4 linked regions of the Rhinolophus ferrumequinum genome follow. The protein of the gene in region 2 purifies or fractionates together with the protein of the main gene of each other region. This does not show direct contact. Links are inferred from orthologs where the notes say so. Each region holds a gene or a part of one and is shown on either strand. Other genes may lie near its edges. The genes, in order: AP2A1, OCRL, SNX9 and PHETA1.

Region 1 (7,430 bases), on a different chromosome or scaffold from region 2:
AGTGTGGAGAATGGACCGTGGGTAGCCAAGATGGGAGCAGGGAGAGCAGCAAGGGACGTCACTGCAAAGTTTCAGGTAGGGTTTCCAGGCGGGAATTCCCGCCTGTTTTCAGGAATTTTTTTTGCTTTCCCGTTCCCGAATACTGATATATAAACTGTTTTCTGTTCTCCACGATGAATCGTTTCCACAAAGTGACGGCCAATAATACTACCAACCACCTGGGTTCAAGGAGCCGATTTTCCCGATTTCCCGACCAAATTTTCTCGAGATTCAAGAACGGAAAAAGCGAAAAAATTCCAGAGAACGGGCAGGAATTCCCGCCTGGAAACCCTAGCGATAAATAGGAAACATGTCTAAGAGATACATTGTGAGTAGTATGTTTATTTCCCATTGTGGGTATTACTGGCTTCAAGGAGCCGATTTTCCTGATTTCCTGACCAACTTTTCTCAGGATTCGGGAACGGGAAAGCGAAAAAAATTTCCTGAGAATAGATGGGAATTCTTGCCTGGAAACCCTAGTTCCAGGCAAGAGATGATGGTGATGGTGGCCTACACGGGGCGGGGCAGTAGTGATGTAAGGAGGTGGCTGGCTCTGGGATATGTTGTGCCCTTGGTTTGAGGTGACAGACAGGAGGGATTCTAGCGAGAGTGCCTGGGTGATTGATGGAGGGCCCATTTGTCAAAATGGGAAGACTGGGGGTGAATACAGTTTTTCTGGAGAAAGTTGAGAGTTGATTTGCTCAGGTCAAAGTCTTAGAAGCTCTTGATGGTTCAATCCATGAGCTCCTTTAAGACAGAGCTGCTGTGTCTTAAAACCAAAATGGACTTTCCCAAACCTCATCTAGACCACCAAACGTGGATTTGTTTGTGGCCTGGTCTTAAAACTTAGCAGTGGGTCAACCCCTGAGCTCCAAAATGTTCTTTCTCAAATCTGGTCCTATAATTCTATGCCATCCAATATCAATGCCACTATGAATGGCCTGTGTCTACTGAGGGCTTGCAATGTGGCCAGTCTCAACTGAGATGTACTATAAGTAAAAAACCCTGGATTTCAAAGACTTAGAAAAATAAGCATGCCAAATATGTTGAAATGTAATATTTGGGTATATTGGATCAGATACAATATATTATTAAAATTAATTTCACCTTTTCTTTTTACTTTTTTTTTAATATGCCTGGAATAAATAGAAATTTATACCTGTGGCTCCCACTGTATACCTACCGGGGGTGCCACAAAAACGTATACACATGACTGGTATTCATCTTTTGTTATCGGTATATATTGAGTATTACAATTTTAATACAGTTCCCCCCCCTTTCTTCCGCCTCTCCCACCCCCTACTCCCGTTGTTTCTCAGTCTAGTTGTGTAGGACACAGCTCCCTGGCCCATGCTGGTATTATGAGCCTTGTGCTCCCCTCTGGTGAGGCAGTCAGTTGCCAGTCCTTGGTCGGCTGCTCACAGCAGCTCATAGCAGCTCTCACCAGCTGCCAGCCGCTCATGCTGGCCACCGGCTGCTCATGGTGGCACACAGTAGACGGTGGCAGCTCACGCCAACCTCTGGCTGCACACTGCAGCCCAGCTCCAGGGAGAGCCGTTGTTCACAATCTTAGCTGTAGAGGGCGCAGCTCACTGGCCCATATGGGAATGGAACCTGCGACCTTGGTGTTAGGAGCACGGCGCTCCAACCACCTGAGCCACCGGGCCGGCCCTAATATGGTTTTATCCTTTCTTAAAATATATATACATTTTTTTTTGGCACCCTCTGTATATCGGTAAGCCCTGCTCTAATTCAACAGGGGTCAAGTCCACAAGCTCCTAAGGGGGCACCATGTCCACCCCACATGCAGGTTTCCCCAAAGTCTCCTTTGCCATTCTGACTCTTTAGACCTCAGACTGCCTTTGCTTTAGACCCTGTCTTAAAAGTTTTTGGCTCCTTCAGCTGCGGCAGCCATTGAGGAGCACCAGCCATGGTCCTGCACTACCCCATGGCCATGAGCCTCAGCCAGGGCCACAAGTGACCAAGAAAGTGAGCAAGTGGAGGCACAACTGACTCCGCTGCTGGCGCCTCACCCGAGTTCTGTGGGACATGATCTGAGAGGTGTGCGGCTTTGCCCTCTATGAGTGGCGCCATGGAGCTGCTTAAGGTCTCTTAGGACAAGTGAGCCCTGAAGTTCATCAAGAAAAGGGTGAGGACACATTTCTGTGTCAAGAGAAGAGAGGAGCTGAGCAGTTCTTACAGTCATGAGGAAGGCAGCTGCCAAGAAGGACTGACTGAGCCCCATCCCCCTCTGTGTAATAAAACCTTTTCAGAAAAAAAAAAAGTTTTTGTTAATTCATGGGCTCTGGAGGTGGTTGGGAGAGGACTGAGTTTTCCTGTATATCCACACTGAGAACTCAGAATTAACTCCATCTTACTCCAGGTGGGTGAAAGGTGAAGGGTTGGAGGTGGTGGGTGAGAGGAAGGTGGAGAGCTGAGGTGGGTAAGAAAGTGGCTTTCCCCCTTACTTAGAGAAGGACTTTACCTGTTCTTGGGACTCTGGCTGTCTCTCTTCACATTCCTCAAAAAGCGGAGTAGTTAGAACCTCCACTGTGTGTGTGTGTGTGTGTGTGTGTGTGTGTGTGTGTGTGTGATATCTATATCTATCTATCTATCTATCTATCTATCTATCTATCTATCTATCTATCTATATAGATAAATTTTTTTAATGGCATTATCTTCTGGGAGAAAGTGCCTCCTCCTATGTGACGAATGGACCCCTCCAGTCCTTGGATGCTTAACATACCTTCCTTAAAAAGGACTGTTTTCAACTCCTGGTCCTAAGAATTTTTTATTTTTAATGGGCTTGTTCTATGTTCTTTAGGGGCAGACAGCACCCCCAACTGTTATTAGGAATGGACTCCCTTGGTCACTAAAACAGCTGAGTGATGTCTGTCCAGAATACACTTTCCCAAGCCCCATTCCTGGAAACCCAAATGGACAGATCCATTGAACCCGGAAGGTGGGCTCTTCTCACCCTAATCTCCATCCCCCCAGGACTCAGCCTGAACGTTCCCGCCAACCAGGACACTCCACCAAGGCTCATTCCAAGAATACTAGGTTTCAGAGATCTGAAAAGGGTAATGGGTGGGGTTTAGTTCCTCCGTGACAGAAATGGACTCTTCCAGTTCCCTTTGCCCCAAATTGCTCAATAGCCTGGGGCGTTGGAGTTCCGGAGGCTTTGACTTCCCAAAACCCAGTCAACCAGAGCGGGTCTCTGGGGCACTGAAGGGTGGTGGTTGGGCCAACCACAGCAGATCTACCTATTCCTTCCTTTTAAACAGCGTTCTTCAGTACTGGGTCCCATTCTTGCTCAGGAGCTGCAAGTCTGGTGGAGAGATTCACAATTTTGACTTGATATCTGTATAATGGCGTTATGATTGCGACAAAAAGGCATTGCCTATTAAAAAGTCGTTAAAAGCCAAAATATAATTTAAATTCCGATTCTGACACTTCCTAGCTGTGTGACCTTGGGCAAGTCATTCAACCTCTCTGAACCTCAGTTTTGACCTCTGCTTAATGGGACGAGACTTGAATTACTGTGTCCTCTGCCTTGGGATTCTCGGTCTCCCGACAAGTTAGGTCTCAACTTCTTGGCCGCTAAATAAGGGAGGAGGAGGTGGTGGTGGGGAAATCTTAGAAGATTTAAGGAGAGTAGGTGGAGGAAAGTAGGGAGAAAGGGGAACAGACACACGCTTGCGCAGTAAACACCTCACGCTTTCTTGCCCCTCCCATCCCCTTCTCTGCAGCAGGGAATTGCAGACGACGCTCCACCTATCCCAGACCAGCTGAGCGACACCTTCCCTTCTCCTTCCTTTTCCACCTTTCATCACCCTGCTCCAGCCCACATTACCGCCCAATGGTGGGCGGGAGCAGGACGGCCCGGCGAATCTGCGAGGTCTGCGGGGGCGATCTATTCGCCCATTGGCCCGAGTCAAAGCAAGTTCCGCCTCCTCAAGCCCGCTCCCCCGCCTTCCTTCACGCCAATCCCTCCCTTGTAGAGAGCGTTCGAATCCAATCAATATCCCAAGTATCCGCGCGTAGGGGGCGGTCCCACAGTACGTAACCGGACTCCGCCCGCCTCTCGGCAACGCCTCCTCCCCCGAACGGAAATAGCGGGGAGCTGGACCAATCGTAGCGGCGTGCCTTTGCCCTGCGGCCAATGAGAGAGGGAGTGAGGGAGATCCTGTGTCTGAGCAGCAGTGACCTGAGCCAATGGGCGGCTGTGAGCTCAGACGGCGGAGGGGAGGGAGGGGCCGGGGGCGGAGCTGCGGCCTGCCAGCCCGCCTGCCTGTCCGCCCGCCCTCCCCCCCTGGCCGGCTCGGCTCCTTGGCGTTGCCTGGGGTCCTTTCCTCCCGATCCCTGTCTGCCAGCCCCCGCTGCGCTGTGCCCTGCCCGGCCAGGCCTGGAGCCGACACCACCGCCATCATGCCGGCCGTGTCCAAGGGCGATGGGATGCGGGGGCTCGCGGTGTTCATCTCCGACATCCGGAACTGTGAGAGCTCGGCGGGGGGACACTGGAGACGGGGAGCGTGGAATTGAGGGGTTCGAGGGTTACAGAGAGGCCCGGGGGATAGAAAACCATTGGGGTCGTAGAGGGAAAAGATAGAGAGGACCCGGGGGGAACTTTAGGGTGGGGGGAATGGAGGGGCTTAGGGTGTCATAGAGTGCCTCTTGAGGTGACGACACGGAGTGGCTAGAGGCGTCTGGGAGGGTCTTAAAGGAGAGGAGGCTAGTAAGGTTCCAAGGATGGGGGCATAGAGGTGTCCCTGTGGATGATAGCCGGATGGGTCGTATTAGCGATGGGGTTAGAGGAATCCCTGATGTAGATACAAAGGGAAGGTGGTGGATGGGTTGCGGGGGGGCGGGGGGGGTATTCTGTGGAGTGATAGAGTGGGAGGAGGCTAGAGGGGCCTGGGAGGACGTGAAACGCTGGGAGCCTAATGGGGCCGCGCTTGAGGGCCTGGTTGAGAGGTTGTCATAGAGGGAAGAAGCTAGATAGGTCATTGAGGCCCTTGGCTAGTACATAGAGAGGGCCTGGGGATGATAGAAAGTCCCAGGGGTTGGGAAAGAGAGGTGGGAAGGTGGGGGCCTATAGCGGGACCCTGGTGAGGGACAGAGGGGCTCCAGGATGGAGGATTGCTTAGGAGATATTGAGGGCAGTGCAGAGGCTTGAGGGGTTACGGAGGGGAAAAGAGGGACTCACGGAGTGTAGAGGAGAGACACTGCAGGTGAGGGTCTTGGAAGAACCTGAGACAGAAAGCTGGGGCCTGAAAAGGGGAGGATATTATAAAGTAGGGGCTTGGGGGATGTTCCAGAAAGGGAAGAGCCCAGAGCTCAAAGAAGGGGCCAGGGAGCCTTAGGAATTTGTGAGGAAGAGATCTGAAAAGCTGGGGAGTAGAGGAAGCCTGGTCTCAGAGAGGGGTCAGGGAGCATGACAGTTCTGAATCTATAGCCCTGTCCCTTCTGACCATCTCAATATGGGACAGTGAGCACCACCAGGAAGGATTGTCATGGCAATGGGAGGCCTGGCATCCAGTCAGTCCCAACTCCTGGGATCTGGTGTTGGTATTTGGAGCTGCCAAGAGCTTCAGAGGCTGTTCCACATGGGATTTGGGGGCAGCTAGACCTGGGTTTGAGTTTAAATGCTGTCACTCCCCAGTGGTGTGTTAATGTGTGTGAATGAGGCCTTTTGCACATTCCAGGCACCGGGAGGATCTTGGCTATTGTTCTTGTTATTTTGCTGGATCTGAGGAGTGGCCAAGGATCTAGCACATAGTAGATGTTCAATGAACAGGAAGGGTGGAAACTGTTGGTATCAGGTGGTTGTCATGAAAAGGGGTGGAGCTAGGAGGGGTTGTGGACTAGGAGGGGTTGCCGGCTGGTAGAAGCAGGTGTGCATCGCCTCTGATACCTACCAGACATGAGACCCTTGGCATATCACTTTAACCTCTCTGAGGCTCAGTTTGATTGTCTGCAAACCTCAGTGAGAATAGCATCTTGCCTCTGAAGGTTCATTCATTCATCTGACAAGTACTTTTGAATCAGTAAAGTGTGCCAGACACTGTTCTGGGGACTGAGGCTACAAAAGTGAACAAAAATTCCTGCCCTTGGGAGTACCATGTCATGAGGGAGAAAATAAACACAGAGAACCTGCAATACATGATACAATGTCAGACTATGCTGTGAAGAAAAATAAAGAAGGGGAGGCAGGCAGAGGGCCCCGGACTGAGAGGGTGCTCAGTGAAGGCCTCCCCGAAGAGCTGACATGTGAGGGGAGACTTGAGTGAATGGCGGGAGTAAGCCCTGTGGATCCAGGCAGGGGAACAGTGCATTCAAAGGTCCTGAGGTCGCGGCACACTTGGTGTGTGTTCCCATATGAGTGAGGGGGCCGATGTAGCTGGAGCCAAAAGAGGGAGAGAGGATGGGAGCTGACGTGTAGGGCTTTGTGGGTCACAGTGAGCCCTTTGGCCTTTCCCTGAGTGAAATGAGAGAGGCAGCAAGGTTTTAAGCGCAGGAGGGACACGAGCTGATTGATGTTTTAAAATAATTTTTCTGGCCGCTATGAAGAGCACAGACTGGAGGCAAGAGCAGAAGCAGGGAAAGAATTAGATGCCTATCCAGGTGCGAGATGGTGTTGGCTCACCTGGGGTGAGAAGGGAGTGGGGAGAAGTGGTTGGATTTGGGATAAATTCTGTAGGATTTGCAAAGGGATTGGATGATGGGGTTAGGGAAGGAAAGAGAAAACAGGTTGGTGTCACTGCAGGACCCCAGCGGGAAGCCAGAGGACAGAGAGGAGACTCCAACTTGGGGACAGTGGAGGTAATTTTGCCAAATGTATTGGGGCTGGACAATCAGGGCTTCCCCTTGTCTTTTTCTCATCAGGTATATGTTGAGTGCCTGGTATGTTTCTCGCCTTATTATAGGCGCTGGGGATATAACGGTGAATAGGACAGACTTGTCAGTGTCCCTGTGGAGCTCCTAGCCCCGTGAGGGAGACCTGTACTGCATAAAAAATGCAGCTGTCCTTGTTACAAACAGTTGTATACAGATGTTGATAGCAGCATTATTCATGATAGCCAAAAAGTGGAAACAACCCAAATATTCATCGATAGATGAATGGATAAACAGATGTTTTCCACCCACACAATGGAATATTATTCAGCCATTAAAAAGAATGCAGTACTGATAACCTAGATGCTACAACACGGATGAACCTTGAAAACATCATTCTAAATGAAAGAAGCCAGACACACAAAAATGTATGATTCCATTTATCTGAAACGTCTGGAATAGGCAAATCCATAGAAACAGAAAGTAGATTAGTGGTTGCCTAGGGCGAGGGGTTGGTGGAATGTGGAGTGACTGCTAAGGAGTGCAGGGTTTCTTTT
Region 2 (7,493 bases):
GGAATTTACCATAAAATTAACAAAATTTGAGTCATAGGATATCATATGTGAAGGAGAAGCAGGGTTCGTGGATAAACCGGAAGTTTCAAACTTGGGTGACTAGTTAAACAGTGGTATCATGAACAACCACAGGTAAGTCCAAAGGTGGTTATGGATTTAAAAAAATGATTTAGCCAATTTACAGAAATGACTTCACACGTACAGAAGCACATAAGTAAGCATAGTCCCCAAAATGATCCCCCAAAAGGAGATACAACAATTTGCCGCAGAATGAGGCCTAGGGAAATGATTATGTTTGTCCAGTTGCCTTTGTCCCCTCTACTGGTCCTAGGCTGAGGAGATTAATATCTTCACCTAACTTTGACTCCAGGGCCAGCTATTTCAATGCATCCTAAACACCACTTTAGACTCCCTCACCCCATGACCTCCTGCTGTGCCTGCTATACTAACTCCCAAGCCTAATGCACCTTCTTGGCATGTTTCCCCTGCTCTTGCTTTCCATCTTAAAGTGTTGCCGAAGAAAGTTATAGGCATGTGTTCCTTTGAACCACTATAGAAATTCATGCCATCTGCCTCCAATTGTGCTCTCCGTTGCTCTAAAACGCTTTACCTTTTCTGCATTCACTGTCACTCTCCAACAGTGCCTGTTCCCTCCTTCTACATCGTATTCAAGTTCTCAAACCCTCTACTCTCAACTTTAATTTCATCAGATTAAATGTGATCATTCAGGTAGACAAGTTACCAGAGTACCTGGCATATAGAATGTTCTAAATAAACACTGGTACTACTATTAATACTGAATGAACAACATAATATGTTGGTTAAAAAGCTAAGGCTTTGGATTCAGACAAATGTCAGTTTCTGCCACTTACTAGTTAATGGTCAAGTTGCTAAATGTCTCTGAGTCTCAGTTTTCTCATCTTTAAAATGGAAACAATATTAATAATTTACAGCGATTTAGTGAGAATTAAATGAAAGGCCATGAGAAGAGGGTCTGTCACGTGAGTCTTCAACATAGCCACCAGGATCAGGTATTGTTGTTATTATTACTATTATAATATCCACTTATTACTTTTTTTGGAGAAAATCATCATCTCTTCTGTGAGAGATCACAGTTTTTAACGTCCTCACCTCCATGTCTTCACAACTTCTTAATCTTTACAACAAACATTTGAGTACCCCACTATATAAAGGGCACTATTTTAGGTGCTGGAGATACTGGAGACTTGGAGGAGGAAGTTACCCTCTTCTCTAAGGTTGATGCTTCCATCTGTACCTTGGATACTTGTCCTTCCCTAATTACTGAGGATTTTTTCTTGCAACCTTCCTGCTTTTCTCTTCTTGTATTTTAAATGCCCCCCTCTTCGCTGGCTCCTTCCCCTTTGCTTTAAAGTGGCTTCAGGTTGTGTCAACTATTTCTGTTTGACCCTTCTAACTAACTTAATTAAAATTTCATTTTACTCCTTTTTATTTCCAAGCCTCTTCAATACATGGTCTCTTATCTCCATTTCCTCACGATATAGTCCCTTCTCAATTCTGTCACCTTGTTTCTACCTTCACCACATATTGAAACCACTTATTTCATGGTCTCCAGTGAACTCCTGAAGAAAGTCTCTCAGTCCTCATTTTCCTTGTCCCTTTTTCAACATTTGACACTAACCCTCCCCTGCATATTATTTCTTTGTTTTTCATTTTCATTGATTGCAAGCAATTTAAAATGCAGGAAAGGACATGAAATAACATAACCAATATATGTACCTACCACCCAGTTCTATCAAACTCTGCAACATCAACTTTCAGATTGTGTATAAAATACGTACATATAGATATATATATTACAGATATAGTTGATATTCCCTTTGTGCCCCTCTCCCTGTTTTGTATTTGGTGATTATCATGCCCTTTCTTGTTTTATACACTTTTACTATTATGTCTATATAGTGATAAGCAACATATAATGTTTTCAGGCTTTATGTAGATGGTAAACTGTACATATTAATATTCTGAAATTTTCTCTTCGTGCTCAACATTATATTTTTGACAATGAGCTCTGTTAATACATATAGTTTGAGCTATTCATTTTAATTTCAAAATAGTATTCAACTTCATGAATACTATGATTTATTTATTAATTCACCTACTGATGGATATTTAATTTGATTCCATTTTTTGAGGTTACAAATAATGCTGCAGTGAACAGTTTTTTACATGTCTCCTTGTGCCCAAAGTGTAGAATTTTGCCCAGGTCTATTGCTAGATTTGGAATTTCTAGATTGAAAGGTATTACATGTACAATTATATTATATGATGTCAAATTCCTCTTCATAGCAGTTCTACCAATTTACACCCCTTCTCACAGTGACCAGAGTTCTATCTGTTCTACATCCTCAACATTTGGTGTTGTCTGAATTTCAATTTTTGCCAAACCAAGGGTTGTAAAATGGTATCTCATGGTTTTAATTTTCAATTTCACTGAACAGTAATGAATTGAAGCATCCTTTCATGTCTTTATTGATCATTTGGGTTTCTTTAACTATGAGTTGCTTATTCACATATTTTGTAAATTTTCTACTAGTTTTTTTTCTTTTTTCTCACTTATTTGTAGGGGTTCTTATACATTCTGGATACTAATTCATTCATTCAATCAATATTTTTCTAGCATCGACTTTGTTCCAAGAAGGGTTCTAGGCACTAGGAATGAACCAATGAACAAAACAGACAAAAATCCCTGCCCTCATGGAACTTACATTCTGGGGGGTGGGGGGTGTAAACAATAACCAAAATTAATAAGTAAAATAGAATAATGGATAGTAATAAATCCTCTGGAGAAAACTAAACAGGGAAGATAAATAGGGAGCATGTGGGTATGGGAGTGGGAAAAGAGACTGTTGAACTGCAATTTTAAATAAAGTTGTCTAGGAAGGCCTCGCTGAGGAAGTGACATTTGAGCAAAGATATGCAGGAGGTAGAAGTGCAGGCAGGGTGAACAGCAAGTGCAAAGGCCCTGAGGCAAGAGTGTTTCTGGCATGACCTAGGAATAGCAAGGAACAGTGACTAAGCAGAGTGAGTTGGAGAGAGTGGTGGAAGAAGAAGTCAAAAAGGTGATGACAGCTAGAAGTGTAGAACCTCACAGGTTATCCTTTGTCAGTTACATGCATTTAAAGTATTTTATCCCAGTCTATGGCTTTTCTTTTAACTTGTGTATGTTGTCTTTAAGTAAAGTGTAATGTAGTTAAATGTGTTAATCAATTACTTTATTGTTTGTGCTTTTCAGTATCTTAAGTAATTATTCACAGTCCCTATTCCAAGGTCATAAAGATGTTCTTCTGAAAGTTGTAAAGATTTGCGTCTCATATTTAAATGTTTGACCCACCCAGAATTGATTTTTCCCCTCTATGGTGTGAGGTAGGGATCTAATTTTATAATTTTCCATATGGATGATCAATAGGCCCAACACTATTTAGTGGATAATCCATTGTCCCCTACTGCTTTGAAAGTTGACATGTATGCTGCATATCAACTTCCTATATGTGTGGATCTGTTTGGAGGCTCTATAGTCAGTTCCATTGGTCTCTCTACCTCCATACCACACTGTCTTAATTACTATAGGTTTAAAATCAGTCATGATATATAGTCAATTGTAGATTCTTGAGCAAATTAATAACAAAAAAGAAGCATTCCTCTGGGATTCTTAGAATATTCTTATAATTGTCAACAGAGTGAAATAGTCCAAGGAGATATCACAAGGGCTTACAATAAAGTGATGGTAGTGCAAATAGAGAGAAAACAAGAAATCTAAAAGTAATTCCAAAGAAAATATTAACAAGGTTTATTGACTGATTGGATGCAGAGAAATTAGGAGAGAGGGAAAAAATCATACGGCTTTGAAGTTTCAAGCCTGGGGTGGCTGTGTGAAATGATGAGTTATTTTTGTCATTCAGTGTTGTGCTAACAATGGGGTATATTAGGCAAAGGATCAGGGCCAGGGATGTATTTTTGGTCGTTGCCTGCATAGAGGTGACTCGGAAGGGGCGCAAAAGTCTGACTGAGCTTTGGAGATTTTTCCGATTTAGGAAGTGGAAGGAAGAAGAGGACAGGGGCGGGGGAGATAGAATAACCAGTACATTATAACCGTAATAAGGAATTTTTTGAATGGATGATGTGGGTCCTATTGGCCCAACACTTTTGAGATCCTCATAGGTATGACTATGTTTTGTTTCTGTGGCAATCTTCAAATCTCCAGAACAGTTTTGGTGTCACGGGCAGCATTTAAAACATATTCCTTGCTGGACGTGGTGGAGATGCCCCAGGTCCGTCGGGTCTCTAGCTGCAGTTCCGGAGTGTGGCCGCAGGGGGCAGACTCTGCGGCGGCCTGGAAAACTGGCGGGGGCGCGAGACGCCTCTCTCTCTCGGGTCAGGCTCTCAGCGCCCGGCTCCCGGCTCCCCGCGCGCGGTGCGGAGCCTTTCCTAAAAAGACGCGCAGCCGAGTCGCGTGGGTGGGAGGACGCGGCAGGCAGTGTCGTCGGATCCGCCCGCAGTCCGCAGCCCAGCTGAGCCCGGAGGCCGCCCGGATGGAGCCACCGCTCCCAGTCGGAGCCCAGCCCCTTGCCGTATCCGCCTGAGAGATGGGGGAGGGAAGGCCTCGTAGGGCGGGGGTGGGTGTCGGGGGAACTGCGGGACGCGGCGGAGGCTGGCGGGCTGGGGGTTGCGGTCAAGAACAGAGGCCGAGTCTAGCGGGGGAGGGGACTGGCGCGGGAGACGATACCCAGGGCACCACCGAGGGCACGTAGAGGGGCGACAACCTCCCACAGACCCTTGACTAGCGCTCTCATACTGTCGAGGGTATGGAGATGAAGGGTCCTCTCCGGGAGCCCTGCGCCCTGACCCTAGCCCAGAGGAACGGGCAATATGAGTAAGTAACCACCTGATTCCCGCAGAGGAGGGGAGCCTGCCATTACCGCCCAACCCCAAACCGCGATGAGCCTCCCACCCGCCTCCCACAGAAGCCACGCTGGCAACAAGTTCAGGGCCAGGTGTGAAGTGCGAGTGCTCTAACCACGGGGCTTTGTCCCCAACTTCCAAGCCCTTGGATTGCTCCGGGCATTGAGGCTCACTGGAAGGACTCAGTGGGCGGGGAAGCAGGAAGCCTGGGTTCTCAGTTCCTACCCCTGCAACTGACGAATGTTGTGTAACCTTGGGCAAGTCAATAAAGCTTTCTGGGCCTTAGTGTCCTCATCAGTTAAATAAAAAATTAGCTGCCTATCTTATAGCTTTTGGAGTTGTAACTGGGAGAATAATAAACGTGAAAGTGGTTTGCAAAAAAGTAAAAGTGCTGTAGGATCGCTTCATTGTTAACCTTGACAGAAGTGCCTTTTCTTAATTCCAATCAACAGGTTCCTCTAGTCTCCCCACAACCTTAATCCACTTGCTAAAAGGCATATTCATTAATTCAGTAATGGTTTAGTGTAGGTCAGTAACTCCCTCATTTATTCACTTGATTGTTAAAGTAATGAAATGTGCAAAAATATAAACGACATTTGGCATTTTATCAGTGTGTGTTACCTTCCACTCTGCCTTGTAAATAGGAGCTCGGTAAATACTGTTGACTGATTGATCAAAAGATTATTTTGATAAGCTGTCACTATAGCTGCTTCTCTCACTCCCTTGCTACAAATGCTTCATATTAAAAGTATGGTGACCATCACATGGTATCATAGGCCCCTATTCCTGTGTGCCCAAGTCTCCCTTGGTGATCACAGGTTTCTTTTTTATTTTTTTAAATTAAAGTTTATTGGGGTGATAATTGTTAGTAAAGTTATATAGATTTCAGGTGTACAATTCTGTAATACATTATATCTCACATTGTCTGTTCACCACCCAGAGTCAGTTCTCTTTCCATCACCATATATTAGACTCTGTTTACCCTCTTCTAGAGCCCCCCCCCTTCCCCTCTGGTAATCCCTAAATTATTGTCTATGTCTATGAGTTTTTCTTCCTTTATTTGTCATTCTTTTCCTGTTTTCAGTTTTATATACCACATATCAGTGAAATCATCTGGTTCTCCACTTTTTCTGTCTGACTTGTTCGCTTAGCATTATAATCTCAAGATCCAAACATGTTGTCACAAATGGTACTACTTCATTATTTCTTACCACCGAATAGTATTCCACTGTGTATATATACCACAACTTCTTTATCCATTCATCTATCGAAGGACATTTTGGTTGTTTCCATGTCTTGGCCACCGTAAATAAAGCTGCAATGAACATTGGAGCACATGTGTCTTTATGGATAAATGTTTTCAGATTTTTTGGGTAGATATCCAGGAGAGGGATTGCTGGGTCTTATAGTAATTCTATTCATAATTTTTTGAGTAATTCTATTCATAATGTCACTTAATTTTACATTTTAGGTTGTTGAGGTGTGTTACAACACACCTCAACAATCACTATGACGAGGCCCATTTCAGCAGTGGGCCAGATGACCTAGCTCAGAACGCATTTTAATAAGCAAACACGAGGACATTTCTCAGCAAACAGCCTTCCCTTGTCACTACATTCTTTTAACAAGTGCCCCACACTGCCTCCCATAGCGGCTGCACCAGTCTGCATTCCCAACAGTGTATGAGGGTTCCTTTTTATCCACAGCATCTCCAACACTTGTTACTATTTGTCTTGTTGATAGCCATTCTGACTGGGGTGAGGTGATATCTCATTGTGGCTTTTACTTGCATTTCTCTGATGATTAGTGATGTTGAGCATTTTTTCATATGTCTGTTTGCCATTTGTATGTCCTATTTGGAGAAATGTCTCTTCAGGTCCTATGCCCGTTTTTTCAATTGGATTGTTTGGTTTTTTGTTCTTGAGTTGTATGAGTTCTTTGCATGTTTTGGATATTAGCCCCTTATCGGAGGCACAGTTTGCAGAAATCTTCTCCCATTCAGTTGTTTGCCTCTTCATTTTGTCGATGGTTTCTTTTGCTGTGCAGAAGTTTTCAAGTTTGATATAGTCCCGTTCATTTATTTCAGCTTTTACTTCCCTTGCCTTTGGAGTCAAATTCATGAAATCCTCTTTCAACCCAAAGTCCATAAGTTTAGTACTTATGTTTTCTTCTATGCAGTTTGTTGTTTCAGGTTTATGCTTAGGTCTTTGATCCATTTTGAATTAATTTTGGTACATGGTGACAGAGAGCAGTCTAGTTTCATTCTTTTGCACATGGCTTTCCAATTCTCCCAGCACCATTTATTAAAGAGTCTATCTTTTCTCCATTGTATGTTATTGAGTTCTTTGTCAAAAATTGTCTGTCAATACTTAATGTGGGTTTATTTCTGGGTTCTCAATTCTATTACATTGGTCTGTGTGTCTATATTTCTGCCAATACCATGCTGTTTTGATTATTGTTGCCCTGTAGTACAAGCTAAAGTCAGGGAGTGTGATACCTTCAGCATTGCTCTTTTTTCTTCAAATTGCTTTGGCTATTTGGGGTCTTTTGTG
Region 3 (7,209 bases), on a different chromosome or scaffold from region 2:
CACTATAGTTCAAAGATAACTGTATCTTCAAGAAAACATGTAAGAAAAATACATAAGAAAATCATACCTAAAACAACAGAAGCCAAACTCTGGCTTCAAAGGAAAATTCAAAGGGAAACCTGACACTACCTAAAATGTCCAGATATTGCATTTATTTGTCATCACTTAATGCTCCTAGCAAGAGCCTGTGTACCAAATGAGTCTTAAAATTTTATTAAAAAGTTAGATGTTATTAGTTATTAAAAGTACATGCTCCCCAACTACCCAATTAAAGAAAGGGAAGGGAAAAACCCAAACCACTAGATGTTGGAGGGGAAACAGCAAGTACAACTTTCTCTGGGAACAAATAAAATGAGACTTTGGTTTGATACAGAATCACCATGAAGTAGGAAAACCAGAACTCTGAGGATGGGTCCTCTTTTAATAAATGCTCTTTTCCTCGTCCTTTCTTAAAAAAAATGGAAGTAGTTTGCCACCATGTAAACAAGGAAATGAGTCCCATGTGGAATAGTGATTAGAAAGGTGAAAGAAACTAAGAGCCAGAGTTACCGGAATTTGCCTTCAGAGTGGTGGGGATAATCAAGTCGGAAGTGCTGACACATGCTTTAAGGCTTGTGTCTAGTGAGGACATGTGCAATTCAAGTTTAGTACAATAACTGTCCTTTTCGATTTTATGGAAAAACTAAGTTCAGGTGTAACTATCAAATTTTTCATCATGTATACCCACACTAGTTGCTAAGCCTGGACCCACCTAAAAGACAGTACCAGTAACGTGCATTAGATCAGAGTGTGAAATACCACAGCCCTGACCACCACTAAACAGATAACTACCACAAACAGCTTTTAAGGTTGCAAGGTGAGTGTAAAATAAGGCCGTGTAACTGGTAATTTCTGGAATGTGTGGCAACAAACCTCAAAATCAAATTTCCTTAAGACATCCGTGCGTTTTGTTGAGTTTTGAGTTTTGTTTTTAAAAGGATCAACGAAACATTATATACGTTAAAAAGGTAGCAAATTCTATCACATCTTATAAAACCAAGGAAGGGTATAGCTAATAATCTATTAACTAGTAGGTAATTATTTCAGTAACTGCAGGCAACAGGTTCCCTGGAGAAGAGTGGCCTTTAAAAAAAAAAAAAAAACTAAACACTGCACCTACATAAATTTAGAGCAAAAAATTTAACAGACTGAAATGGTATCAGACAATCTTATCTTTTAAAGGGATTTCACATTTCTTACTACTTTCCTGTCTCTCTACCAAAAACAAAAACCCAAGAACAAAAACGTTAGGCTTTCAACAAACCAAAAAAAGCTTACAGATTTCAAACATAAATATGGAAGAGGGTGCTGATCTTTACAAAAGTGACAGAACAAAAAACTATTTGCAAAAGTCAATGCATTCCTCAAAACACATGACTACCTCCTGGAATCTTCATTCAATGGTCCTGGCTTTCCTAGTTTACATTAAGAATTAAGGAAAACACCCCAGGAAAGGGAGCGGGGAAGGGTGACGCCAGCAGACGCAAGCAGCGAAGGGTGACCTCTAATTCTACGAAAAATACTCTAAAATAAGCAAAGCACCACTCCTGGCCAATTACCAAGCGCGAGTCAAACTTCCACCACGTAAGTCGGGCCTGGGCCTTTTTCAAGCAAACGCGTTATTGAAAGCCCAGTCATTTCCCTCTTTGTATTTTATTCACGCTGGAAATAACATTCAAACTGAAAAGCTAACAAAACAAAAGAAAAAAAAAAACAAGAAAGGAAGTGGAAGCGCGGGGCGTTCAATTTGCGTTTTCCCTCCCCCGGAGCTCTCGCTCGCCGGCCTGAATTTAAAACGCCGAGTCCTCTCCCGCCGGGGTCGAGTCCCCCAAAACCGGCCGGCGTGCCGGGAGTCCACCAGGAGGCGGAGGGAGGGGACGCTCCTCTCCGCCGCGGCCGGATGTGCGGGGCACTGGCGACTGGACACCACTCGGAACCTTACCAGCGTCTCCCGGTGGCCGGCACGGCTCCTCCGAGCGAGCCGAGGGCTGCGGGAACTTCACCTCCACGCGGCCGGCCGCAGCCCACGTTCAGGGGCAAACTTTGCAGGAGGCCCCGCTCGCGTCCGGGGTCCCGCCCCACGACCCTCTAGCGCCTGCAGCCGGGCCCCCGAACGCCCTCGCCCCGCGTGACCCGAGCCCTGGGGGGCTGCGAGCCGGCCCCTCAGCTTCGCCCGCGTCCCTGCCGCCCGCGTCCCCGGCCCGGACCCTCCTGGCCCCGCCGCGGAGCCGAGGGGCCGCCAGGGCCTGCGCTGCGCGCCCCTCACCTTAGTGGCCATGGCGGGCGGATCTCCGGCCCGGGACGGCCGGCTCCTCTCCCGCGCCGCGCTGTCGGCCCGAGGCGGGCAGGCGAAGGTGAGGGCGGCTACGACTGGGCCACGGCGCGGCGGCGGCGGCGACAGCTCCGCCTCGGCCCCGAGTCTGGGCGCTGGGTGACTCCAGCCGCCGCCCGCTCCGCCAGTTCCTGAAACTCCCCGACTGCGCGGCCCCCGCCCCTGCCGGCGAGCCTCCCATTTACCGCGGCGTGCGCGGCGCGGCCGGCGGAAGCGCGCCCGGTGCCCTCGGCCAGCCAGGCCTCCTCGCCCACTTTCCGCCCCCGCCCGGAGCCTCCGCCCCGGGCCCGCCGCCGCCGGGCGCCCTTTGTTCCACCGCTCAGGGACGCGGCCCGAGTCGCTGCCGGAGTCGGGGTCGGTGCCCGGGTCCCAGCCCCCGGCCGCGCCCCGCCTGGCTGCCCGCGGAAATGTTGGGGGGAGTGAGGACGCCTCGGGGGGGAGCGCCCTCCCCGGGAGCCGAGTCCCGACTGGCTCCTCACGACCGCGCCGCACGCAGCGGCTCAAGTTCGGCTGCGTGAGGCACGAGGCTACGGTGACAAGTCTACGTCCCCCTGGCCGGGCACGGGTGACCAACGGGGATCTTGGTCCTGAGTCGGGAGTGCTGTTGGGCCGACTGTGCTCTGGGCTGAGTAAAACGAGTGCTACATAAACAGCCGGGACCGAGCGGAGCAATGGCTCCCTGGTCCGACCGGCCCTTCCAGGAGGTTCTGCCTCAAGCCTGGGGTTACCACAGGCTGGGATCCCGCCTGGAGCTTCTGGGCCGCGACGCTTGGAGAGTTCATTCTGAGATGTCACATTAACCTTCTGCACGCTTGATCAATTTAAAAATGACGCAGGGCCCTAGAGGTTTGGGGAAGATACAACGTATTTTCTGAAAGTGGAAATGAGAGGTCTAAAATTTTCCATATTTTTTTGTCAACATGTTTTTCTTCAGAGTTGGACACACGGGTTTTATTCATACATGAATGACTTAAATTGAGCAGTAAGATTATCACTGGAGTACCAAAAATATGACTGGAAGATATATCTTAATTGGTATGTCAGTGTAGTACAGTTTGTTTTTTATTATCAGGGATATATATGTTAAAAGAGGCAGCTATCAAATCAAGTCTAGATTTGATTATTAGCCTAGAAAAGCAGTATTTAGAACTAATGCCAAATTTTGTGTTCTGTCGAAAATACTCTTTGACCTCCAGAGATTTGAAGAGTTATTATACATTCAGCAATGGAGTTGAAAATGGATATGGTGTTACAGAATTTTCTGTAAATTTTTTGTTTGCTGAGTTCATGGCTAAAGCTATAGTCATAAATTATAATACTCATAAATAGTCAAAGTAAAAGGAAAGCGAGAGATTACCATTCATTGACAGTTTAATTACTATATACTGTTTCCCAGAAAATAAGACCTAGCTGGACCATCAGCTCTAATACATCTTTTGCAGCAAAAATTAGTATAGGACCCGGTCTTTATAATATAATCAATATAATATAATACCAGGTCTTATATTAATTTTTGCTCCAAAAGATGCATTAGAGCTGATGGTCCAGCTAGGTCTTATTTTCGGGGAAACATGGTACTAGACTTTCACATGCTTTAATCTTATTTAATCCTTATAAGGAAACTTTGAGAAAGTCATTGTTGTCCACTGTTTACAGACATGAAGAAATCAAGTCTCCCTGAAATAACTTGGCTGATTTGGTAATACTTTTCAAAATTGAAAATTCCCATAACCTTGGGCCTAGCAGGTCTATTTCTAGGAATGTATCGTGCTGTCAGATTTGCGCAAGTGAGTCATGATGTTAGTTAAGTAAAGCATTGTTCTAACCCAAAACAGAAAGCAACCTATATGTTTGTTAATAGGACTGTTTCAATACAGCATACCAGGCAAATGAAATTCTGGGAAGCCCATAAGAAAAGGATAATATTTAAAAAGGCACAAATAAAGATAAACATAGCATAGCACAATCCACTTGTGTAAAAAAATATGAAAATACTTTGTATATACCTAGAAAATGCCTGAAGATTCATTAGATGCCATCGTCAGAATTTTTGAAAATGTGTTTATTACTTTATTTTAAAAATGTTTGTTTTAATAAACAACTAAATAAATATCTGGACTAAGAACACATACTAACTTGTATGTGGAAAAGCCAGGATTTGAACTTGGGTAATAGCATAAGTAATGAATTTTCCATATTCTTTCACATTTGAAAGCTGCCTTCAGCTCCCTGCAGCAGTTCAACAATGCATGTTTTGTAAGGGAGCTACAAACTCGGGGTTGATCCTGTGACCTGTGCTTTTTGGCATGCTCAATTGACACCCGCCTGGATGGGGTGCTGGTGGGCCAGTTGTGCTCTCCTCTGGGCTGAGTAAAATGAGTGCTGAATAAACATCCGGGACCAAGCAGAGCAATGGCTCCCTGGACCTTCCAAGAGGTTCTGCCTCAAGCCTGCGGTTACCACCAATCAACCTGGACACCTGATACCAAGAAAGGAAAAAGACCAGAGTCCAAGCTTTTCCGATTTGAACAATTTCTGTAGTCTTGGTTTCATCCTTAGAAGTAACCATGGAAGACATCAAATTCATGATGACTAAGCAAAATCAATAAAAACATTAAATGAAAGTGAAATCACTACCTGTATTATTGAGATAGTAAAAACACCATGACATTGTTTCCTAGTCCGGTAGTGCATCACTAATGTAATCTCAGGGAGTCTGAGCTCCAGCTCCATCTAATACCACCCTCCCGGGGCCATACTGGCCTCTCGCTTCCTCCCCCCCCCCCCCCCAGCATCATACTCTGTTCCATGGAGAGGTTCCTGGGCATGTGACCTGCGCAGGGTCCAGTGCTTAGAGGGACCCCACTCTTGCTTTAATGCTTCTCTCTCACAAACTTTAAATTCTGAATAGTCTTGAACAAGAGACCTCACGTTTTCATTTCATTTCACAGCAAATTACATTGCTTGTGTTGTTTCTTTGTCTGAATTACCCCTATCCCCCCACCATCTGTTCACTTCCCCCCACCACCCCACACACCAGCTGACCTCCCACTCATCCTTCGGAGCTCTCCTGGAGCGTCACAGCAGTTAGTATTCCTCAGGGAAATCTTCCCTGCCCCCAGTTTCAGTCAAGTTCTGTTGATTGAAGGTCTCACCGTACTTGGTTTCCTTGCCTTTGGAAATTTGTTTGTAATTCATTATTGAGTGACCAGTTGCCTGACTCCCCCCATCAGACAGTAAGTTAAGGAGCAGAGGCTTTGTGCCCATGTCTCCAACCTGCCCTAGCACCACTGAAGGGGACCAAAGTTTTGCCACCCCCAAAGTGTGCCTCTTGGGATACTGATTTTAAGTTGGTTATTAAGAAATGAAGACCCCGAGAGAACCTTTGACCCACGCCCTTTCCTGCCTAAGAGATTCAGATGGAAAGGCCTTCTCCTGGAAGGGAATCAACATATTGTGGCACATAGAAAGGCTCTAAGCTGGGGCCTGTTAACTAGACGCCCCACCTCATGTCCCATTGTTTCAGAGTTGGCTAGCAGGGATTTGCCTGTCACCTGTGTTCCCCTCTTACTCAGCTACCTGTAAATTGCTTATTGCCTTTGAAATCCCAGACCCGTTCCCCTCTCTTTGTCCCTAACGGCATATAAACCTCAACTGCCCAATGCTCGCTGGTCCGACTGGACCTTACAGGGTAGGTAAATGACTTACCTATTGGTGTGCATTAGGCCAGAGCAGAGACAAGAGCCCACTTCTCTTATCACGGGTCTCCAAAACATGTCATTTTTGAACTAAAAATATTTCAGGTGAGAGGTTCGAAGGCAGTTTTGTGAAGGTCAAGACAGTCACTGTACCAGTGACATGATCCGTCTCTCTGGCCCAATCTTATTCCGGCGTGCGTTGTTCCTGTGGCCTTCAGGCTAACAGCTCCTGCTAGAGAGATGCTAATCATTAGAAGAATTCTACGTGGGACTTGAGTTTTTAAAAGAACAGTCCCTTGCTGGAAGGCGCCGCTCCCAAGCAGGTGGGGGAAATGTGTACAAAAATAATGATAATTTATCAAAGGCTTGCAGGAGCCTCAAGAGCAGACTCAGGTCAGCTGGGGTGAACAGACTAAGAACAAACAAAGAGATTTAGAGATTTCCGGGTCTTCCTCAGACCCTGCTGGTACCCAGATGTCTGTGGTCGTCAATCACCTCTTGCCCCTCCCATCTTCCCTTCCCTTGACTTAAAAGAAGCCTGAACTCTGTACTTTCTTAAGATTGATTTGAGGATTAGAACCCCCCATTTTTTCAAGTGGCACCTTCTCAAACAATAAACCTTTCCTTACTCCCAACTCTTATGTTTGGAGTTTTGGCTTTCGGAAGCGTAGGGCACATGGACTCTTAGACCGGTAACAAGATAAACCAGTCAAGGACTCCTGTCTTGAACTGTGCTAGGAGCCACCCACCCACACTAGAAGAACAGAAGAAGCATGATATCCTTTCATCTTATTCCAAGAAGTCCAGCCGCCAAGTGGAACAGTGGCTTCTCCCAAACTAGAAAGTTGACGTCACTCAGGATAATCACGAAAAGCCCTGGGCCAAGTTGGGAAGAACGTGGTTTCATCTTCTGATTCCATTTGATCACCTGTTCAAACCTCTTTCTTTCCTCCCATCCACTTCCTTCCTTTGACAGGCTTTCTCAGAGGTGGTGCTTTCCGTGGGCCGTCCTCAGAACCCAGAGGTTGAAACTGGCACACGTCAAGTTCAGCTATTTGCTCTACAGCCTGAATTTCCATTACTCCCATTGGTGAGAACACAATTGATTAGCTAAGGAATTTGATTTGCATTTGCAGACTG
Region 4 (8,054 bases), on a different chromosome or scaffold from region 2:
TAAGGGTTTGTATAAAAGGAACTTGGCCCTGGGCCGATATGCAATGCATCTTGGTTATTGACAAGGAGCAAGTGAAACTCAAGGTTTCACTTGCTCCTTGGGAGGAAGTATTTAGGAATTCGGTGGTCGGCAGCAGAAGAGAAAAGAGAGGGTTTGGCAAGGGGGGAGAAGAGAGGCTCCATAAATAATAGAGGGGATGAGGAGGAGAGGACTCAGCAATGCCCCCTTTTAGGGCAGGTTCCCAAACCCTCCATTTGACGCTATGCAATGAGCTGGCAAGACCTTGCAAGACGCCTTCAGCAAGAGTCACACACAGGACCCAGGCCTCAGGCTGGTGGTGCACGGGTCCCCGTTTCTCCCCAACACCTCCCAGAGGAGGGGGGCCCTTTGAGGTCCAGGGACTCTGGCCTTTCCTGTCACTGCCCCTCTCACAGTCTGTGGCCTGGGCCAGGTATTTGTGGTGGAGGACAATTTCAGTTCCTTCTTGGGGCTGGCTGGGCCTGGCCACTTCTGGGGTGGGGCAACCACTGTGGAAGGAAACTCTGCCTCACACCCCAGCTGGGACCACTATCTTCCCTGCTGGTGGCTGCACAAAGTGGGGGATCAGTAGAAAGGGCTGGGAGGCCAAAATCTGGATGCCAGATGGCAGGTCCTGCGGGCACCTTCCTGGGAGGAACTGGCTCAAGCCTGGAGTCACTCAGTACTTTCTATATGCCAGGTGCTGTGCCAGGCGCTGGAGATGCAACAGTGAACAAAGTAGGCGAAACTCCCTGCCCTCATGGACCTACCCTCTAACCTGGGGTGGTGGGGAGGTGTCACAGGTTACGCAGAGTCATCAAACCCAAATACGATACCTATAATTGGCCTGCCCTGGCTTTTCTCCTGCTTCGTTGTCTGTACCTTCTCATCTCCTTGGTGGGTCCTCCTCATCCCACCGACCTTCTGAGTAAAGCTCACAGGCCTCTCTGATCTCACCTCTCTTCTCCTTTTGCTCTCTTTGCTCCAGCCACACTGGCCCCCTTGACATGTTTCTTGCCTCTGAGCCTTTCCATTTGTTGTTTCCTCTGCCAGGAATGCTGTTCCCTCTGGATATCTGCATGGCTTGTGCCCTTATTTCCTTCAGGTCTTTAATCAAAAGCTACCTTCTGTAGGCCTCACCTAATGAAAATGGCAACTCACCATCCTCATTCACAATTCATATGCTTTTCCCTTGCTTTATTTTTCTCCTTGACTCCTAACGTCATCTAATGTACTGTATGAATGTTGCTTCCTTATTTTTTTCCTCTGGTAAGGGAGGACAGGAACACTTGCCTGTCATTAAAAAAAAATAATTCATTGAGGTGAAATTCACATGACATAAAATCGACCATTTTAAAATGAATTCACAACGTTGTACAACCACCACCTCTATCTAGTTCCAAAAAGTTTTCATCACTCAAAAGTAAAGCCCCGTACCTGTTAAGCAGTCACTTCCCACTCGCCTCTCCCCCTAGTACCAGGCAACCATTGATGGTCTGCTTTCTGTCCCTGTGGATTTATCTATTCTGGACATTTCATAACGATGGAATCATACAATGTGTGGCCCTTTGTGTTTTGCTTCTTTCACTTAGCATAGCATATTCGAGATTCAGCCACATTGTAGCATGTGTCAGTACTTCATTCCTTTTTATGACTGAGTAAATATTCCATTGTATGGATGGACCATGTGTAATTTACCCATTCATCCCTTGATGGAGATCTGGGATGTCTTCACCTTCTGGGTAGTGTAACTAGTGCTGCTACAAACATGCATGTATGTACTTATCTGTCTTTTTAACTTGTATCCTGGTGTCTGAGATGCAGTTAGTGCTCACTAAATATTGGTTGAAAGAATGACTGATTGGAGGAAACAAAGGCATTAGACTCATCAGGGTGGGGCTGGGGGTCATATGCCTTCCTGGAAGAGGTGACCGCTGAGTGAGAGCTTGAAGGATGAGTCCTGGAAGGGACCGGCATGTGTAAAGGTTCAGGGTATGGTGCATTCTGGGAACAGAGGGGAGCCAGGTGGCCAAAGCTGAGGGAGTGGGGATGAGAAAATGTGTGTGCAGAGCCTGGAGGGGTGGGCAGAGGCCAAGACAAGTAAGGCCTTGCCACTCACAGAAAGGACCTGGACTTGCTCCTGACGTGATGTGAAGCCATGGAAAGGCTTCGAGCAAGAGAGTGCCATGACTTGATTTGACTTAAGTTTTATTAAGTGGAGAATGGATTCAGGGGTTGCAGGGTCCAGAGTGCCAGAAGGGAGACCCGAGAGAAGATTATGGCAGCCAACCTGGCAAGAGATGCCAGTAGCCTGGGATGGGGAAGTGGTGGCAGAGATGGAGAAGTGACAAACTCGAGACATGGTTTGGAAGTAAAATCGTCAGGACTTGGTAACAGTAGCCACAACCCAGTTCTGGTTTTGAAATTCTTCTTTCCAGTCCTTCTGAATCACTGTCCCTGTTCCGGTCCATTACATTTCCAGCGACAAAGATGCTGACTGTTCATCGCCCAAAGGGGCAAACAACTTAATGTCTGTCCATCAGGGGACGAAAGGATAGAAAAATGTGGTCCATCCGTAAAACCGGATATTCCTCAGCCATACAGGAAGGAGATACTCGTGCTGTAACATGGATAAAGCTTGGAAGCGTGATGCCGAGTGAAAGAAACCAGTCACAAAAGGCCACATATTGTGTGATTCCATTTATATGAGTTGTCCAGAATAGGTAGATTCACACAGACAGAAAGTAGATTAGCAGTGCTGGGGGTTGAGGGCAGGGGCCAATGGGGAGTAATCACTACTGGGTGTAGGGTTTTACTTTGGAGTGATACAAATGTTCTGGAACCAGATTGAAGGTTCACAAAATTGTGAATGTACTAACCATCGATGAATTGTTCTCTTTATTTATATTTTTTGCTGGTGATTTTTTAAAATTTGGGAGCTGTATTTATTTTCTTTGATGTATTTTCAGCTTTATTGAGGTAAGATAAGGTGTACATTGTGATGATCTGAAATTCATATACATTGTAAAACGATTCCTTCATTTAGCTAATTAACACATCTATCACCTCACATATTTACAGTGTATATATATTTGCATGTATGGGAGAGAACATAGAAGTTCTACTTTCTCAGCAAATTTCAGTTATTCAATAGTGTTACCAACTATAGTCACCATGTTATACATTATGTTCACTTGTATTATTATTATTATTATTATTATTATTATTATTATTAAGGAGGGCACAGCTCACGGTGGTCCATGCGGGGATCAAACTGGCAACCTTGGTGTTATTAGCACCATGCTCTAACCAACTGAACTAACCGGCCATCCCTATGTTCACTTTTAAACAGTTAATTTTTTATGTAAATTTCACGTCAACTGAAAAAATAATGACTCAGAAAAATAAAAGATGCTAGGCACTTGCTCTCTGACTTCTGCCTCTTTCACTCATATCATCCCTTGACTCCAGCAAGAGGGCTCTGAGAGCCAAGGCTCATAGGCTTCTGGGAAATTTCCCACACACTAAGGCCCAAATGCCCATATGCCTGGCATTCGCCTTACGTGGCAAGTGTCTAGACTTGGATAAATTCTACCTTGCCTTTCCTGCTGGAGTAATTAATGCAGCATCAGGTACAACTGGATCCAGGGGCTCAGCTGACATCAGATATCATCAGGTAGCTGTCTCTCTCCACTCTTGAAAGCAAAGTCTTTTCTATGATCTACAAGGCCCTAAGCAACCTGCCTTTGCCAATACTCCCTGACCTTTTGTTCCTACTATTCTTCCACTTGCTCACTTGACTCCAGCCCCATTGGCCTCTTGCCCATTCAAACATGCTTGGCATGGTCCCATCTCAGGACCTTTGCACTTGCTGGTCCCTCTGCCTGTACATCCTTCCCCCAGATATCTACACAGCTCCCTCCGTCCCTGCCTCTCAGGAAAGCTTTCCCTGACTACCTTGTCTAAAGTTGTACTTCTAGTCTTTCTACCCCACTGCCATGGCTAATAGTTGTCCTAGCAGAATCACTTCTAGTACTCATCTTGTTTGTTGGTCAACTCAGGAACAGTGCCTGGTACAGTGGCTGACACACAGTAGGCACTCAGTGAAACACTGTAGAATGAATAGATGATCCAGGTCTGTCCTGTTTCTCTCCTGCCCTCACGCCAGAACCAGACAGTGATTGAGTCCTGGAGGACTGAGGGGTGGCAGCAAGAGCAGGAAGTAAAGACAGGTCCAGGGAGGTGGAACTGTGTTATTTGGGTAGGATAAAAAGGGCAGCAATTCCTATTTGCTGACAGCACTTGCTCTGTGCCATGAACTTGACATACCATTACTGTCTTTATTTTACAGATGAGGAAACTGAGGCCTAGACAAGTGAAGCGATTTCTCTAAGACCCTCCAGAACTTTCCCTCTTCCCATGGGGCAAGAGGTAGGGTTGCCAGGCATTTTGGACATATAGTACAGTCCTCCATTGACTTGGTCAGAACGCCCGAAATGTCCTGTATTCAGCTTGTTTTCTAGAAATCACACGTTTTCAGCATGTCCAGTTATTTTTCAATTTAATTGGGCGTTAAATTTACTAAATCTGGCAACCCTAGTCAGGGAGGAGCTCAGACTCCAGGCCTAGGGCTTCAGTGAGAGGTCCTGCCTGGGCCTCCCGATGTTTTTTCAGGGAGAACCCACAACCGGTCCTTACCCCTGGAAGCGCGTTGATTCTCCGGGACCGGATCCTCTTTCCTGGGATGAGGCACTGAAGACTCGTGAAACATCGTAGGCCCTTTAAGAGTGGTTTCGGGGCAGGGCCCACGGGGGCGTGGCGAATCCGGGGGCGTGTCGGGTCCGGCCTGACCAACCCCGGGGCGGGACAATCGCTGGGGCGGGTGGGTCGGGAAGGGTTAAAGGGGTGCGCCCGGGGGGTCCCTGGCTGTCCCGCTGCCTCCGCCTCCTTTCGTCCGAGCCGCGCTCTCTCGCGGCTGCGCCGGCTCGGCCGCCCGGGAGACAAAGCGCCGACGCCGTCACCGTCGCCGCCACCGAGCGGGTCCTGGGCCATGGCCAGGCCGCCCGCCGGCCCTGCGCCTCCCATTCCGTCGCCGCCACTGCCGCCCTAGGCCTCGCTGCGAGGTAAGGCCGGCCTGGAGCGGGGACCTGCTGGAAGACCTGCAAAGGGGACGCGCGGGACAGGGCTCCGGCCACCGTGGGCCTCGGGGTCCTGCGGGCGTCTGGAGAGACCTCTGATGGGGATCTGTAATTTCCCCATTAGGGACCCCAGGTGCGGGGGACAAACTTGGCCGATGACTCCCCTCCTCCCCCCGGCCCCGTAAGGAACCTCTGCCGCTTTTTGAACTATGGGGCAAGCCCTCCACTTGGCACTCACATTCTGCCATTGACCACCGATCCGGGGCTCTGGCTGCCCTTTAGGAAACTCAAGAGAACTTCCACACGACACGAAGGGACAGAAGGCAGCTAGGATCAGAGCTGGAGATCCAGTCTCTGCAATAGGCAGTGGGGCTGCCTCTGGCCTGGCGCTGCCATCCTGGCGTCGCTGTGGCCCCTGCTTCATGGTTCCCCCAGCACATGTTTTTCTGCCTGTACCTGCCACACCCTCTCCTGCATGCCCACTGCTAGGGGACACTGTGGCAGCTGGATTCAACCTCAGGACTTGTGGTCTGGTTTCTTTCCTTGAAGTGTGTGCCAAAATGCCATAGCACAGTTTCCCAACAGTCCAGGATTCTGGGCCACCCGTTTCCCGGGAGACCTTGAGCTAATTATTTGCCTTTTGGACAGCTTTCCTGAGTGCTCACTACCTGCTAAGCAATTTGCAAAATGGCTTTTCAGGATTAATTTATTCAACCCTTCCTGGAGGGATGGATGTTAGTGTTCTCATTTTATAGATGAGGCTGTGAAAACCCCAACTCATAACGGCAATATGTTTGGTGGCTTTCCCACAGTTTTCCAGCAGGCTTTCCTCATTTTAGCTCATTGAATCCTCTCCACAGCCCACTGACAGATGAGGAAACTGAGGCTTGGAAAGGTGAAGTGACTTTCTCAAGGCCCTCCCGCCTGTTCTAGAGGAGGCGAGAACTTGGCCCTGGGACCAGAAAGGAGCTGGGAATCAGAAGCAGTGCCCAGAGTGGACTTTGACCGTCTTGGAAAATAACAGGAGTGTGAGGAGATAAGCCAGGGACCAGGCCCTGCCCCAGGCTAGAGCTGTGCCCCTGCTGCTTACTGTACTCACCCCCCCACACACACACACCTTGGTTCTTGCTGGGGTTGGAGGAAGCAGAGGCCATGGACAGAGCAGGGTCCTGTGTTGCCGGTGACCCTGGCCTGGCTGGCCCCATTTGCTGAGCATGAGGGAAACTGCTCTTCCTTTGGCCTTAATGGGGTGGAGAGACCCCAACATCAGTTCCTTTGGGCCAGCTGCATAGAGCATTTGATTCTGGGCACAGCATTGTACCTTTGGGCAAGTGCCTTAATCTCTGTGTGTCTCCGTTTCCACATCCGTGAATGTGGGATGGAGAATAGACCCCTTGTCATGGGGCTTGTTGAGAGGTTTAAGATGACTGTTTGACTCGTTTTACAGGCATTTCAGCACAAACTACTGCCAGACACTGGGATCCAGACAAAAGCCCCTAGAGCAGGCAAAAATGACCTAGGTACTTTCAGGATGGGGTACAAGAGAGTGACTGGGGGAGTCTCTTGTATAGGGTGGTCAGGGACTGCCTCCCTGAGGAGATGATGGTCAAGCTGAAACTGAAGGATGAGGAGTTGGCCATGTGAAGATATGGGAAGGGCATTCCAGGCAGAGGGAAGAGCCAGGGCAAAGGCCCTGAGACGGGAACATGAGGAACAGCAAGGAGACCCGGGTGGCTGAAGATGAGTGAGCAAGAGGAAGGGAATTTGGACACCATGGGGAAGACTGAATTTTATACTGAGAGAAGTAGGGAGCCATGGGAGGGCTTAGAGTGGAGGAGAAGTGTGGCTGAATTTGGTTTTCACAGGATCTCTCTACGGGGCATGGATTTCAGTGGAGAGGCCTAGGAAAGAGTTTGGCTCTTACCCTGAAGAACATGGACAGGGAAGGGACAAGGGTGGAGGCAGGGAGACAAATGAAGAGGCCACTAGATGGAGCGGGCCAGGCGAGCAGTGATGGGGGCCTAGAGTGTGGAGGTGGCAGTGGACAGAGATTAGGCCACTGATTTGGAAGAGGTTGGAGGGGGGATCAGCTGGACTTGATGAGTGGTCATAGTAGGGGTGAGGGGAGAAACCAAAGGCCATTTGCTGAGACAGAGCATGGAGGGGAGCATGTGGGGAGAATGTCAACAACTGCTACTTCTGAGCACATACGTGTGCCTGGCACCATGCTCAGTGCCTGGTATGTAATCACTGTGTTATCGTCACAAAAACCCTGACTTAGGTGCTATTATGATCCTATTTTGCAGATGTGGAAATAGAGGCCCAAAGAGGCTTAAAGCGTGCCTGAGATCACACATCCTCGACACTACAGAGCTGATATTTGAACCCAGAGAACAGCACACCGAAAGCAGATTGGGCTGAGGGCAGGGAGGTGAGTGGTGGCCTGAGAGGTAGGAGGAAAATGGGACAAGTGGAGTGGATAGTTCCTGTGAGAAATGGGGCTTGGGTCCATATGGGGTTGTTGGGCTGTGGGGGAGAATGCATGAGTCCCATTTTGCAGAGAGAGAAACTGAGGCTCAGAGAAGGGCAGCCCATGTCTGAAGTCACACCGGGAGGCACAGCAGGGACTCTGGCTTTGGCCTGGTTACCAGGTCAGCACAGGCTGACTCAGCTATGAAATCAACTTGTGTTGCCTCTTCCAGGAAGCTTTCCTTGACTGCATAGGCAGGTGAGACGAGTTGGATTTGGTTAGGAGCAATCGCCCCCTGCTCCCTGGGTCAGGTTGCCTGGCTGGGCCCCTCGGTGGCCAGGTGCTCCCAGGAGAGCCACCAACCATACCTCATTCCTCCAGGCCCTGAGTAAGGCACCACCCAGGCTGGGGAATAAACATTAATTGAA

The links.
Region 1: the proteins of OCRL (region 2) and AP2A1 purify together in Homo sapiens (affinity purification with mass spectrometry; 3 studies listed by BioGRID and IntAct, counting the BioPlex papers as one, with this or other methods). This does not show direct contact. The link is inferred for Rhinolophus ferrumequinum from reciprocal best matches to the Homo sapiens genes OCRL and AP2A1.
Region 3: the proteins of OCRL (region 2) and SNX9 purify together in Homo sapiens (co-immunoprecipitation; 3 studies listed by BioGRID and IntAct, with this or other methods). This does not show direct contact. The link is inferred for Rhinolophus ferrumequinum from reciprocal best matches to the Homo sapiens genes OCRL and SNX9.
Region 4: the proteins of OCRL (region 2) and PHETA1 purify together in Homo sapiens (co-immunoprecipitation; 5 studies listed by BioGRID and IntAct, counting the BioPlex papers as one, with this or other methods). This does not show direct contact. The link is inferred for Rhinolophus ferrumequinum from reciprocal best matches to the Homo sapiens genes OCRL and PHETA1.

What each region holds. Positions count from the first base shown.
Region 1 is NC_046298.1:44,814,188-44,821,617, forward strand, and holds the start of AP2A1 (AP-2 complex subunit alpha-1), read left to right. Parts: upstream 1-4,318; 5' UTR 4,319-4,467; coding exon 4,468-4,534; intron 4,535-7,430.
Region 2 is NC_046284.1:26,460,201-26,467,693, reverse strand, and holds the start of OCRL (inositol polyphosphate 5-phosphatase OCRL), read left to right. Parts: upstream 1-4,380; 5' UTR 4,381-4,571; coding exon 4,572-4,610; intron 4,611-4,832; coding exon 4,833-4,912; intron 4,913-7,493. UniProt on the Homo sapiens protein: Catalyzes the hydrolysis of the 5-position phosphate of phosphatidylinositol 4,5-bisphosphate (PtdIns(4,5)P2) and phosphatidylinositol-3,4,5-bisphosphate (PtdIns(3,4,5)P3), with the greatest catalytic activity towards PtdIns(4,5)P2.
Region 3 is NC_046286.1:99,676,255-99,683,463, reverse strand, and holds the start of SNX9 (sorting nexin-9), read right to left. Parts: upstream 3,169-7,209; 5' UTR 2,318-3,168; coding exon 2,306-2,317; intron 1-2,305. UniProt on the Homo sapiens protein: Involved in endocytosis and intracellular vesicle trafficking, both during interphase and at the end of mitosis. Required for efficient progress through mitosis and cytokinesis. Required for normal formation of the cleavage furrow at the end of mitosis.
Region 4 is NC_046308.1:6,756,586-6,764,639, reverse strand, and holds the start of PHETA1 (sesquipedalian-1), read left to right. Parts: upstream 1-4,924; 5' UTR 4,925-5,141; intron 5,142-7,462; 5' UTR 7,463-7,587; intron 7,588-8,054. UniProt on the Homo sapiens protein: Plays a role in endocytic trafficking. Required for receptor recycling from endosomes, both to the trans-Golgi network and the plasma membrane.